Linked DNA regions of Drosophila melanogaster. Changing the gene in region 2 together with the main gene of any one other region gives a genetic interaction. Each region holds a gene or a part of one and is shown on either strand. Other genes may lie near its edges.

Region 1 (4,907 bases), on a different chromosome or scaffold from region 2:
CAGCTACCCAACCTCAAAGATCAAACTCAAACTCAAAACCCAAACCCATACCCATTCCTATTCCCATTCCCCCAACCATACTCAAACCCATACCCAAAGTCGTCTGCATACCAAAACCAAAACCCATCGGCAGCTGGAAGTCAAGTTGGAGCCAAACTCTTTGAGCATGTTGCGCCTGCTACAGTGGGTACTCCATGGAAGGACGACTTTCATGTTAAAGGTTTGATGATTTTGAAATATATTTAAGAAGTATTTCAAATAATCTCTCTCCAAGTTGCCAAGTATTTTCAATTGGTCATGGTTTACAAAACAAAATGGTTGAGTTAAAGTCTCAACAACATTGTTTAAAAAGTTAAGTTGTTATTATTGTTATTAAAACAATAATATTTCGAATATAAATATTTATAACATTTCAGCATAATTGGTTTAAAATGCTATAAAATAGTTTTAATATATTTATTTAAGAATGTTATATTTAATTACTGGTTTATTGTTTCAAAAGGCGAAATAAAACGCTCACGTTGTGACATATTAATTAAATCAAGTTCAATAAAAAAAAAGTGATTGATCGGATTGAATATATTCAATTACTGGTTGCCTAGTCGGTTTGGTTTTGAAATGAAAAGTAAATTCATTTAAAGCATTTAGCTGCAGCTGATGGAATGCGCACTGTATCCGCCCAGCGAGCAGTACTTGGCATATATCAAAAGCCAGGCAGCACACTTGTATCTCATTTGGCAAAAGTATCTGCGGATGTCGCGGGTTGGGGCGGGCACAAGAAAGTATCTGGCTTTTTAATAGGTTCAAATTGTGGCATGAGTAACGCAGCGCACAGAGCAACTTGACTAACAGGCGGCGTGACGTGACGCAAAGTATCTCGGCTATAGCGATTGTGGATGTGCAAGTCGAGTATCTGTGACTGTGCGCCTTTTGTATCTGTATCTTTGTATCTGCGTATCTGTGAGCTAGGCTGCCTGTTGAGCGGGTGAGCTGCGCCAAAAGTTCATGACGCTGGCTGAGCTTGATTTTCAGACCATTTTACATGGGGCAATTCCGATTGCGACTGGCTGGCAAACAAGCTGCCTTGTTTGCGTCTGTTTTTACGTTTTTTTTTTCTTCTGTTTTTCAGCTTCTCTGCTTTTCACCCGCTTTCTGTTTTCCTTTATTTCAGCTCTCTGTTTTTCCCCCTTTCTTTTGCCCATTTCGTTTGTGTTTTTGTTTTGTTTGCCGCTGCCCTGTGAGTGTGCGTTTGTTTGTGTGCCTGTTTGTTTGTTTGCCTTTTGTGTGCGCTGGGGGATTACGTAAGGGAATCCCCAACATTTTGCAGCGCGCGCGCCAACGCAACTGAATTAAAATGATAAGGGGACTGTGGGTGGTTGGGCGTGGGCGCAATGCAATGAAAAGTGACTACTGACGCTGTTGTTTCATGTTTTATGCATGCCCTCCCTCTCTTTGCTCTCGCCCCGTCCCTCTCTCTCTCTCTCTCTCTTGCGAGTGGAGCACTCATGGCACACAAATAATAATGCAAAAAAATATATATCTTATAGATACAGCCAGAGGTTTCGAGTGGGGGCGTGGCTGAATACTACATACATTCTTAATTACATATTTTTCCCTTTGAGCCGCCAAGAAAAAATCACTGCACTTGACGAGATTCTTTGAAGCTCTGAAGCAAGGACTTACTGTCTTGCCATATGGCAGCTGTGAAACTCGTCGTCCTTGAGCTGAAGCCCAATTTTTTTAAGACCGCTGGAGTTCTTTTAATAATCAACAAACTACTTGGAGTGAATTTGTTATCAAGAACAAAGCAGTCAAAGTTCGATCTTATAATAGAACCACTAAATATAAAGATTCCAAAGAAAAGTCAGCATAGAAATTGTGGATATTGGGTCCCTTTTCCTTGTAAACACTTTATGGAAACGTTTGCAAAATAGCTTAAAATCCTTGAGAAGAGGCAATTTCCCGGAATTTCGCTGGCATATTTTCGAACTCACGCTTGATTTGAATAATTAACAGGAAAATGTACTTACTGCCTCGACCGCTGCCCTTGCGTCGCGCCATTTTCCCTGCTTCAAAGTTGGTGTCCCGTTTTGGCGCTGTCCGCTGTCCGCTGTCCCGTTGTCCTTTTGCACAGAACAATACTGCTGGAAATTAGGATCCTTGCGCTTGACTGATGTATATTTAATCAGAGGCCGCCTACCCGCTGGCACGCCCACTTGCGACACTGGTTCTGGTCTGTTTGTATGGCACAACAGCAACAAAGCTTGTACGTGTGTCGACGTCCTTGACGCACACAATGACAAGCGTCCTTGTTTGTCTGAGCGTATGAGCGCGCGCGTGTGTGTGTGTTTGTGTGTGTAAGCGAGTGTATGGGTGTGTGTGTGTGTGGCCTGGTTCCCGGTTCGCTGGTATTTGCCAACTAGACAAATAGAGGAGCCATGATGTCCAAGTCCCTGGTATTATCCTGATATGCCGCTTGCCTGTCGACCTGGTGGAGATTGCAACCCGCTGGCTGGCATCGCTGCTATCCTGCCCAAGTCTCAGTATCCTTGGTTGCTGTAATTGTGCTATATAAATCCATGTAGGCGTATCCTCTGCTCGCTGTGTAAAAAAAACCTCAATTCGGAAATGTTCGGTTTGATATGCCGTTCCTTATTTTTGTTGTGGTAGGTTTTGTTTGATTTGTATTACTTTTGACAGACCCTGCGTATACGCAATATTCGCAACTAAATCGCGCGCGCCGCGAATTCTTTCAGTTTTATGTGCTGCGTGTGTGTATGTATGTACACTCCTTATCAACACTGTTTCATCCGAGGGCCTCACTTTATTTCATATATATTATATATCTCTTTCGAAATATGCGCTATATGGCTGTTGCGGAATCTATTAATAAAACGGACATGTTATTCACCATGCGTTGCGATTTGACTTGATTTGATTTCGTTGCTGGCTTTTTTGCGCATTTACCGAGAAGTGCGAGAAGCGCGCGAAAACGAGAGGCGTGCGTCGACGTCGGCGTTCACGGACAAACAGAGCCAGCGAGAATCCGTTAGGCCCCCAAAAGCCAAAGCCAAAGCCAAAAGCCCGAACGCCAAGAGCACACCCAAAGTGAGCTCTCTTTTGGCGCACAAATGAGAGAGCCAAAGAGCGACGTAAGTGGCTTTCAATTCGACCAGCCGTTTCGTTTCAATCGAAAATCGCCTTTCAACTTGTCTGTTTACCTTTTTTCTTTTCCCACTCACAGAGCAGCGAAGAGAGTTCGCTAAGAGAGTCGCCTTATCAGTATTGTGTGTGTGTGTGTGTGTCCAAAGCTTAAATGCCAATAGCAGGAGCTCCAGATGATAAGCGTTATTTACTTGGCTTACCTGCGCTGTGATAATACCTGGGTTGTCTGTTTTATCAGTTTGCTAATTTACATTTTTAAGATTATCCACACAATTGATAAAAAGGTAATACTTTTCTAAGCCTAAATGTATGCAATATCAAAAAACAACATGGTGCTTCAGTGGAAAAGCATTGATTTAGGCGATTTGATAAATTAATTATAAGGAGTTGCTAAAAATATAAACATGTCATTATAATATATTTTAATAATCATAAACTTGGTGGGACGAACACACAAACCTTATAAACTAGCTGCTGCAACTCGCAGCGAAAATAACGAAGATAAACATTTAATTCATGGTTTAAAAATTATTCTAAATTATAGATGAAGTTTGATTCTAAGATATGTACTCTGTTGAAACACATTTTAATTACTGCACATAGAATCGTATCCATTCCAATGATAGTAATGTTTCGACTTAATTTAATATTCATATGCATAAAAATAGCAAATTCGATGAATTAAATGAAGACGTTTAAATGAAGGCGTCCTATTCTTTGATACAGCCATTAATGTTTCCGATTCATTTAAGGCAGACACTTTGGGCCCAGTCGAAAGCTGTTCGAGCCGCAACGCCTCGTAACGCCTGGTGTCGAAAGGCTGAAATAATGCGGCTTCAAAGGAAATTAAGTGCTGGCGAAAATATGTACATATGTGAAGAAAAGAAGAACATATCGCAGAACATTGGCGATGGCGATGTCAAGTGGATGGGATTTTGGCTGACAGCTGTGAGAATTCCCAGCCAAAGTGACAAGTAAAAGGCGTGGCCTTGAGCCTCATTTGCCAGCCCCAAAACGCCAACGGCCGCCCTTCAATTTAAATTCATATGGGAAGATATACGATGTTTGGCCTAAACGACTTTCAATAAATGTGGTTTGTTTCTTTTAAGAATTTTCACAAATCATTGATATTTATTAGAGCCGCACGCGTGACCACCCTAATCACATCACTCATCCTTATGTTCAGAGTTAACCCCCCTGCACCCCCCCCCCCCTGTGTTATACTATGCTCCATCGTCAATGAAAACGAATATATGTACTATGTTCGAACAGCTGTTCTTTGTTTACAATTGGCGCAGGCGCCCAATTGGAAATTGTTCGTGTGCGTGTGTATGTTCGCCCGGCTAGAAGGCCTTCCAGTTCCAGTGCGAAAGCAGTTCGAAACTGGAAGCTGGAAGGAGGGGAAATTCGTGGTGCCGAACACTTTGGCGCCAAATGAAAAACGTCCGTCGGAATTTCACTTGCAGTCGGAAAATAACAGAGCGCGTGAAAGGATCACAGTGCGGATCAAACAGACCGGTCTGTTGAAAAGTCAGGGAAATCCAGTTGAAAAACGAAAGTAACAAAATTGAAGAAAAAAAAAAAATTATTTACAAGCTGCCTCATAAAAATTCCACACATCGTTTCAAAAAAGTGTGTTTGCTACATACTTCTATTCTTCTATCTAAACAGAACCATTCCAACCAAATAAGCCAGCAAAAGAAATAAAACGCAAATGTGAGTGCCATAAAAATAATGTTCAA
Region 2 (4,855 bases):
GCCCGCATTCCTATTGAAGAGATAGCTTTGATATATCTTTGTAACATTAGCTAAAACATCTTTGTCTTTGATTTCTTCTACTTCTAAGCCGCATACTCATTTTGTTTATTCTTTTTAATCGTTCAAACTCTCCCTATAAAGCAAATCAATTTTAAAAACAAAAATTTGCTTTATCAGTCGGCACATCTTTGTCTTTGTAAATATCTTTTTACGGATAATCCATAAATTATATGTACATTTTCTACGCTAGTTATAGAACACGAATTTAATTTTCAGCTCAACACAAAATAAATAAATAAATCAACATTTTTTGTCAACAAAATATTTATGTAATTTTATACAAAATATACACGAACGTCTAAATTAAATCATCGTGTATTTACGTTTAGACACTAAATACAATACAATCCCAAAATTTGACATTATTTTTGTGTCTACTTTATATGAAGAAATTATTACATAATTCTATATGAAACAAAAAAAAATTTATAATATTTCTAAAATTCTTAAGATCAAATCAACAACATATTTTCTCTGTGTTTTTTGTGCTAAATTTTTTTTACTGGTACTTCTTAATTTAATAATGATGTAAAATAAAGAGGAAAACAATTAAAATATAAAATAAATGTGGAACATAACTATGGTTTTTCTTTTAACTTATAAAAGTGGTTGATAAAAAAAACTATTGAGTTTCAGTTTGACAACAAAGTAGTTCTGACTACACCTCTGCATTGCTGAATAGCTACATATATACATCCTGTGCGTTGCATAAACCTATAAAACTTTCAAATCAAATCGAGAAAATCTTGTAAATTGCAAATCGAGTGCTGAAATGTTACGTAAGCATCTAATAAATATCGAATTTCTGGTGCAAGCGGTTCGCGATTAGGCAATCATGGAATAAGAATCAGAATTATTAGTTTTCTGTGCTACCTTTGCAGAAAGTGAGGTCGTAGTGCTAGATTCGGAGCTGAATTCCAATTGAATTGATTTTGAAGATAAAATACGACAAAGGAATCAAAGGTAAGGGTCGTGGTTCACTATTGAATTCATACTAAAACTACTTTATATATGAAATATTTATTGAAATATGAGTTTGCATTAAAAAGCTAATGCCGTAGTGCTTTGGAAATTATTTGTGTGGATTAACAAAAGCTGAAATGACAGTTTGGAAGTTCTTTTATCACTTTCCATACTATAAGACAATTTAATTAGTAAAAGTTTACATTAAATTAAATGATTAAATATTAAAACAGTTTGTTTAGTTTTAACTTTAAATTATGTTTAACTTCTCTTATTATTTCAAATTATATTTCAGTTCGCCTCACGTTGCATGAAATGCACATATGATCTGTTAATGTAAGTTTATAGACATGAAGCAGTATAGATAGATCAAAAGATAGTTAGGGTATGTTGCACCACCTACCTAGTTTCAGTCTATGCCGACCTATAGTCAAAAACTCACCCCTGCCACAGACCTTGAACTTAAGTCGCGGACAAACAAAACCCGTTGAATCACCCCTGCGAGACCCCCGAGAGACCCTTATATCTGTAATCTCCAGACGGAATGCCAGAAACACGCGGAATATTGGACAACAAACAGAAAGGTTGAAAGAAAACTATATAGAAAAGCTATACTATCCGATCCGAGAGAGACCCTCTGAGCAGAGTGGCTCTGAGCGTGCTGATAGTTTGATAGAGCGATAGATAAAGACTCAACTCAGGTTCACGATCGGTGCAATTGAGTGATATGGCGGATTCTGAGTGTGGAGAGCATATTAAATAATAGCCGAGTGGCGGTGCTCAATCAGTCAGTCAGTCAGGTAGAGCTGGGAATGCTTGCACATATCGCGTATACGCCCCGGCCGGCAAAAGGCATTACAACAGACTTGTAGACCGACTGACTCTCCCGACCGATTCGGTTTCGTATCTTTGTATCGGTGAGAACGCTTCTGGGGACTCGCTGCTCACATTTCGATGCATTTCGCGGTTTTTCGTTTATCCACGGGCTTTTTGCGTTTGTAGTTTTTATTTTCGCCAGCTTAGAACTTGCAATTCTCGTGCATTTATTCAGTTTGAGTCCAGCAAGCGCAGCGTCAACGAGCGGATCTCTCTCTTTAATTTTCCGATTCGGGTTTTCGATTTATTCGCATTTTCTCCGGGTTTTTTTTTTGAGCGCGCAGTTATTGTTTTATATCGCAAGTACTTGGCCGATCTGAAGCAAAGTCAAGCCGTCTGCCGTTGATATTGTCTCTGCCTGTAACTCGATCGCATATTACACACTTTTCGCCTTTTCGGTTCTGTTTCGGATTTGAAGGGGAATAATATTTTTGTTTGTCTCCGTCTTTGCGCTTAATTAAATTGCAGCTTTCTTCCTTGTTTCTGCTGATATTGCCAAAAAAGTTTTTTGTTTTACCTTTTACCATAAAAGAAATTAAAGTGTTTTTGTTATTGGATATCGTTTTCTATATATTGGCGTATATATGTCACCAAGTGCAGAAGTATAAAAAAAAAAACGCGCAAAGCAGAACGGGAAAAGTTATTATGTAACTTTTAAAACACTCGTGCCATAAAAACAGGAACAAATGTGGAATAATTCTTGAAGAAACAAAGTGAAAGGCAGAGGAAAAAACAAAAGTGGATAAGCCGCCAAAGGCAATATATGGATAAAAATAAATAGTTTAAATAATAATGGGCGTTTTTAAAAAGCCAAATAAAAAAGTGTAGTTATATGTCAGTGATGTTGCAATAAAACACAAATACAAGTTTTCACAAGTTAAAAATTGATCTTAGTTAAATACTAAAGTAGTAAAGTTTTATTTAATTGAACAAGTGCATCCAAACTAATGTAGCTAAGATTCAATTTCGAAGTAAATTAACTACTTTACCTGCTAATTACCAAAGTTTTGCGCCAGATTCAAAAGATTAAATTACAAATCAGCTGCGGCAAAATTGTGAAGTGTGCAAAGCAAAAGTGGAGGAAAAAAATAAAAATAATAAAAGCAAAAGTGCATTAGGTAGAACATCCGCAGTGACAAAAATAACAGAAGAAAAATGCCGCGCCAAAAAAGATAAGGCAAACCCAAGGATGAGATACGAGCGAATACGAGTGAAGATACTTCTCGCTTAAAACAAAAGTGCATTCAACCAAAAAAAAATTGAAAACAAACTACCTGTGAGAGCGATTTTTCCACATACATATAATAAAAACTATAATTTTTTTAAAATGTCTTTAGATTTGGAAAGGTATTTTAATAATGTACTCTTTATTCGAATTTTGAATGGAGTTGTGTCGTTTGTTTACTCTAAAAGTTGGATTTCGTACCCAATATTAAAATAAATATAAAAATTAAAAAATATTTTTAGATATTGGTTTTAGTTTCATTCAGCAAGATTGATTGGATATTTTACGCAGTACACTATTTTCATTCCGGTGAATTCAAGATAAATAATATTGTTTGTAAGTTTTGCTTAATTACAAGAATTTCCAGTGGCTGAAACTAGCTAGGTAATTTGCTAGTCGCTTTGCAATCCAACTATTTCCATTTGTTTTATTTAAATTTTTTTTTTTTTGTTTTTTTTATTGTTGGCTGACAAGTCTCAGGTCTCGGATGTGGCGTCTTTTTGAGTTTTTGAAACGTCATCGTCAGCGTTTGACTGCCCCGAGTATCTGTGTGCGCCAGTCTATCTGTGTGCGTGTGTTCTGCTGCAATGGTGTGAGTACGCGTGTGCATTTGTGCAGTGGTGTGCGATCATGCGGTAGTCGCACACGCTCTCAGTAAAACTTATTTCAATTGACAACTAAAAAAACTATAGGCACATGCAAAAAGGTTTTAAACATTACAAGTGATACAACTTCGATTCTTGTTTTTGCATTTAGTCGAATAAATGGGGCACAATTACGAAACGCTACTTAATTTAATCTGCAGTCAGCTGCACTTTCTGGCCATTTTCGCTCTGGCTTGCAGAGCGTATACTTCATTTTCACTTAGAGCAAATATGGCTAGTTGTTGATACGGTGAGATAAGCAACTGATTGACAACTACTCCAGATCTATTTTTTTTTTTTTTTAACAATATTGAGGTAGTTGGAAACAAAGAACGAAAACTTAAGGAAAGCCTCTGGGTCGTTTTTTAATTAAAAGAACTTATAGAAAAATGCACTTAAATTTCTAATGACTAAAAGTTAGACACCCTTCATTTATATCAAAAGGAATAACCTAAAGAGAGCAAAACTTTGGACTGAATAAGTTTAACCTAATGAATTTTGTAATGGTATAGTGAGTTTTTGTCCACTTAAATGAAATCAAGTTAGTTTTTAATTAGTCGGAATTTAATCGATACTAAATAGAATTCATTTAAAATTTCCCCCTTAACGAAAATATTATTCAATTTCAATCTAAACATATTAAATCATTATAAAGATCGATTTATGTGATGAACTGATGATTTTAAGCAGACTGCTAATGATTCAGATACGTCAATTTATTATTAGATTGTTAAACGTTTAGGGAAAGGAAAATCCAAGATCCGTTTAGGGTTCTGTTTATAGAACAACAACTCCATGCTGGAAAACCACATAGAAGTATACCCCTTGAACACTATTAACGATGAACTCGGAATTGGTAGATTGTAATTAAATCCCGTCTCGGTAAAATAAGGGGGAACGAACGCCGACGAAATAAATCAATGAATGACTAGAGGTAAAAATAAAATAATAGTGAACAATTTAATTAAGTCAAGTTTAAGACAACAAACGCTAGAGCGCGACGAAAAGTATTACAAGTTTTGCGGAAAGAGAAATAGAAGGCGAGGAAGCAAAGTTGTACAACGGGTCGTATGAGTATTGGGTATTA
Region 3 (5,003 bases), 200 kb from region 2:
GAAAATCGAAGCCCTGCAGCGGGAAAAGAATCGCATCAAGTCCGGCAAGGACATGACCGAGGCCAAGCGGCGCATGGAGGAGTTGGAGATGAAGAAGATCGTTGAGCAGCGCAAGCGCGAAAAGGACGAGGAGAAGGCGGCCCGCGATCGGGTAAAGGCTCAAATTGAGGCGGACAAGGCAGCACGCAAGGCTAGGTAAGGATTAGCCCTATCCTTCCACTTCATAATTCATTATAATTCATGGTATGCAGAGAACAAAAGGAATTGGGCAACGCAGAGCCAGCTCCATCCGTGAGCTCCACCACAGTTTCGTCACCACCGGCCGGTGTGAAATCTCCGCCGCGAGACTACACCGAAACCCGCATCCAGGTGCGCCTGCAGGATGGCTCAACACTACAGGAAACCTTCAACGTCAAGGAGCAGCTGTCCGCCGTACGTGTGTTCATCCAGATGAAGACCGGCATCGAGTCGCCCTTCTCTCTGATGACCACCTTTCCGCGCAAGCTGTTCGCCGAGGACGACTACGAGAAGCCGCTGGAAGTGCTCGGCTTGGTTCCATCCGCTGTCATCACCATGACCAAGACGCCCGCATAAATCTTTCCTACAAACTGGATATATTTGAATCCGGGTAATCTCTCCCATAAACTAGAACCTAAATACGAAAAAAACGCGGCGCGAAATATACCCCCCCCCCCCCAAAAAAAAAAAAAAAAAACAAGAAAAACAATTAATGTACGGTTTTATATATATATTAAACACAACAATCTCAAATACAAGTAAAGTTTTAGAGGATCTTTGAGGGCAATTATTAAATTTCTATTGAAAAGCGATGCTAACTTTCCAATAAACTTTTTTCCTTAAATTACAATAGGATTCAATTTCTATGGCTAATGATTGGTCCTGTAGTTCCTACATGAAGGGCTTCACAAAGTTCTTGATCTTCTTAACGCTTCGCTCGGCGGGTCGAATGTTGAGGTGCTGCCCGAATATGGTGAACTCCATGTTGCCCACTTTCATACCAAAGACGCACTCGCTCTTGGGTATTGTGCGCAGCCGATGGTCCTTGCCGAGCAGTTTCAGCACGTTCTTGGTGTCCATGACGCAGATGCCAGCCAAATTTTCCAGGGTGGAGCACTTGGACTGCAGCACCTTCATCTTGGCACCGTGCAAGTCCAGTTTCACCAACTTGCGGCTGAACTCGTCGTAGCGAGCATCGTGCACCTGGGGCACCTCGTCACCTTCCCTCAGCTCCAGATGCTCGCGTACATAGCCCTTCCACAGGTGGTGCAGTGGCAGTGCCTCCTCGTACTTCATCTGCTTGGTGGGAAGAGTGTTCAAACCAAGTGCCGCATATTCCCGGCGACTCAGCGTACTGGATTTGTGGGCGCGACGTTTTCGGGAGTGCTGCTTCTTGATCTTGGTGCCCTCCAGCATTGTGATGTGATCCGGATTGATGTTAACATTGCAACGCTGGTGCGGAATCACCAGATCTGAGATAAATTCCCTCAATTCACTTGTCGCGTGTTCCATTGCGTTGTTATTTAGTTTTATTTATTTGGTGATCAACAATATATCGATAGGCGCGGAACTCTATCGATGGAAGAAAAGGCGATATATTAATATTATTTTTTCAGATGCATAGCTGCATGTGCACTTCGTATAATACAAGCTAAATAATAATTATTGCTATTAATTATTAGAAACTGTATGTACCTGCAATTTTTCATATTCAACGCTGCAATTTAAAAATAACGTACATTCGGGGCAATCTGGCGTTGCCATCCTGCTTTTGCATTTGAAATGTCATAAAATACAAAAAATACCAACGAAATAGAGATGGAAATAGATATAGTGCGGGCACTCTAAAAACATCGATAGCCAAACCTTGAATTAATATACGAGTGGAAAACATCGGACCTATCGATGTTTCTATCGGTGGCCGACCACCTCTAGCAACGCCGAACATATGTTTCAAGTCTCTCTCAACTTTCGAACGGAGCGGAACGTCGAGCGCACGAATTCGGAATTATCGTTGAAACAAACGTCGCCGCGTGTGATCGAAAATCCAAGTTAGGCTCATTCGTTGGGAAGCTGCGAGGTAATCAAACGCCAACCGACGACCAACATCCGCCCGCCCCCCTTTTAGCCACGCCCCGCGGCCCGTGTGATAACAAAGATAATGCAATAAAGGGCAACCGTAGAAAAAAAGCTGTGAGAGAGCCAAGAAACGTGACCCAGGCAAAATTTTGTTTGTTTGTCTGGCTCTGCATATACATGTACATAGTTTAAACGTGCGTGCGATTGTGTATGCGCGTGTGTGTGAGCAGCCGTCGCGTTAGTAGTAGTAACACGCCAAACAACAAAAAATTCATCTCGCGTTATTTACAATAATAATTAAACAAAATTACAAAATTGTTTCCGTCTCGCCCGCTAGTTCACTCTCTCTCACACACACACGCACGAATATTACCCCCGGCGCGTTTTACTTCCATCTCGCTCCCACAAAGGCGGAAGAGTTAAACACAAAAAAAAAAGAAAAATAGAAAAGAAATTATAAACGAAAAACTGCCACCGCCGCTGCTCAATAATTTGTGCATTTTTTAAGGTAATTTAAAGTGAAATGGAATGTCTTGTTTGCATAGGTTAGGTTTAATTAGTCCGGAAAGCTAAGCGAAACCCTGGGAAATATTACATATCCCCGGGCGAATTTCTTTTGTCCCGTTACTTTTCGATTTTCATGCGAGCGTTTTTTGATTGCGTTCATTTTCTGGCGACTTGGGGGTGCTCGCCATTGTTTGGTTTTCAACATTTGTAAATTTGCATGAAAAGTCGGATTTTAAGTGATTTTTGTGTCTTTTGAGCGGCTTTTTGCGCAGGCAGCGCAGTCCGAAAATCACTCAGAATCGCACTCACATGCGCACACACTTACAATTGTAATACACGGACGCGCCCCGGTCGCGACAGCTAACGGCACTTTTCATGTCCTCTCGCGCGCTCTCTCTCACTGTTCTCCTCTCTTCTTTCTTTTTGATTCCTGTGCAGCATCATTTGCCACCAAAAATTCGAAAAGCAAACAAAAGTAACGACAATTAAAGTACAGTGAATAATACCAAAACCGGATTAAATTAAATCTAGCTTTTACAGAATATACAAAATATTGAGCCTAGTGGTAACTAGTAACTAGTGGTCGAATAGGAAATCAATTCTCAATAGTTTTCTTGCGTACTGTGAAAATAAATCAAGATTGTAAATTCTGTTAGCAACGTTTAAATTATTCACAATTCAACTGTCTACAAATGATTATTTATCCACTTCACTCCGCAGTTTCATCACAATGTCCTCAAATCTAATTTAAATAAGTAAGAAGTGTAACAAGCGACACGCAGCGAAACAAATAGCGCTGAATAGAGGAGCACGCCAAGGCAAACAGCAACAAATGGCCAACAATTGAATGGCGGCCATCAGTTGGCCCCAGCGGCATCCATTGAGCAATCAACACCATTTCTCCCACATCAAATCAAGCACCACTTCCAGCAACACCATCACCTCAACCACCTCAGTCACCACCGCCGTCACAGCTTTGGGAATCAGAACCACAGTCCAAGACCCAGTCGAAACCACCACCACCACCAGTAAAAGCCACAGCCTAGCAGGACCACAACCACTGAGCTCCATCGCCAACAAATACCAGAACCGGGTGCAGCTGCTCGAATTATTTGGAAAACTTGCCGCGTAGTCCATCAATGAGCGTTTCGATGTCACTGGTACAGGGTGGTGCTGCCGGTGGTGCGCCACAGGGCGCCAGCGCAATCTTGGCCGCAGCGGCTCCCTACTATCAACCGCCGGCTGTTCCCCAGGATGTTCAGCCGGATCGTCCTATCGGCTATGGAGCATTCGGAGTTGTCTGGTAAGTATAATGATTCTATATCTCAGTGCAATAATCCAGATTATGGGCGAAGGGTGTTGCCATAGTATTGGTACAATCAAATTTTTTCTTGGTTTAGCAAGCATGGTTATTTTCGGGTTGTTTTGCTGGTTGTCCAAAGACATCCCGCCGAAATGGGCAATTATATTTGAGAATTATAAGACAATAGGTGGTATAGAATGCAGAAAAGGGTGTATTAACGTCATATCCTATTATATGCTTGTGCCCCTTAAAGAATTCATGTAATGATAATTTGTAAATGATTTCATTATAAACACATTCGGTTAAAAAGTTGTAAGACCGACTTCGAATCCAAATGTTAATACCCTCCTGTCAATGTACTTTTATAATTCAAATATCTAAAGATTAAACAGTTGTTCTTTGACTTGAAAAAGTCTTTGTTCTATTCGAAGAAAGGGTATCTGCAGCGTCGTTACTTTGCTGTGCGATTTTATGTCACGGTCTCGCCGTGGGTTCAGCAACCTTCTGCTTAGGCCTTTGATTCTGTAACCCTTTTGATTGTGTTGCTGCTGTTGATGTTGATGTTTTGTGCAGCGGGCAACGTCAACATCCTCGTACTCATTTCGATTCAGAACCTCAGTCCCGGGTCTCAGCTAGCTGTCCTTCATGGTTTTGTGCCTTTGTGCAGTTTTCAACGTTGCTGCGGCCCCCCGAGGGTGGATTTTTCCTATAATATATTTCTTACCCTAAGCGCGCTGGCTGGCTGACTGGCTGGCTCTCCGTGTTTTGGCCTCCCTCCCCCCCCCTCAATTTGGACTTTTCTATTTGCCCATCTCCTCGTTTATCGGCCTCTCTCTGCTTTTTTTTTTCTATCCCCTCGACTCTTTTGATTTACATTTGTGTGCAAAATTTTACATTAATGGTTGCTTAAATGGGGTGAGCATTGAATATTTGTTTGTTTACTGGGTAAAGTAAAATATCTAATATGGATTAGCAACATTTTGTTATCAATGTAACCGAAAAGCTGCAAATCTATCAAGCAAATGATTTTAACATAGCACAAAAAAAGGTGGCAATATGAAATCATCATATCTATTTATTATTTAACTCGACTTCC

What was found. Genes that interact genetically often act in the same process or in processes that back each other up.
Region 1: of Clk (region 2) and shn, changing one suppresses a phenotype caused by changing the other (phenotypic suppression), as found in Drosophila melanogaster (one study listed by BioGRID).
Region 3: of Clk (region 2) and nmo, changing one enhances a phenotype caused by changing the other (phenotypic enhancement), as found in Drosophila melanogaster (one study listed by BioGRID).

Annotation. Positions count from the first base shown.
Region 1 is NT_033778.4:11,171,929-11,176,835, reverse strand, and holds the start of shn (schnurri), read right to left. Parts: upstream 3,034-4,907; 5' UTR 2,062-3,033; coding exon 2,031-2,061; intron 1-2,030.
Region 2 is NT_037436.4:7,772,581-7,777,435, reverse strand, and holds the start of Clk (clock), read left to right. Parts: upstream 1-1,832; 5' UTR 1,833-1,940; intron 1,941-4,855. UniProt on the Drosophila melanogaster protein: Circadian regulator that acts as a transcription factor and generates a rhythmic output with a period of about 24 hours. Oscillates in antiphase to the cycling observed for period (PER) and timeless (TIM).
Region 3 is NT_037436.4:7,977,076-7,982,078, forward strand, and holds the start of nmo (nemo), read left to right. Parts: upstream 1-1,970; 5' UTR 1,971-2,098; exon of another isoform or gene 2,099-2,434; 5' UTR 2,435-2,605; intron 2,606-3,324; 5' UTR 3,325-3,743; coding exon 3,744-3,907; intron 3,908-5,003. Other genes in the region: CG8209 (uncharacterized protein), read left to right, coding at 1-195, 252-594; POP4 ribonuclease P/MRP subunit, read right to left, coding at 910-1,530.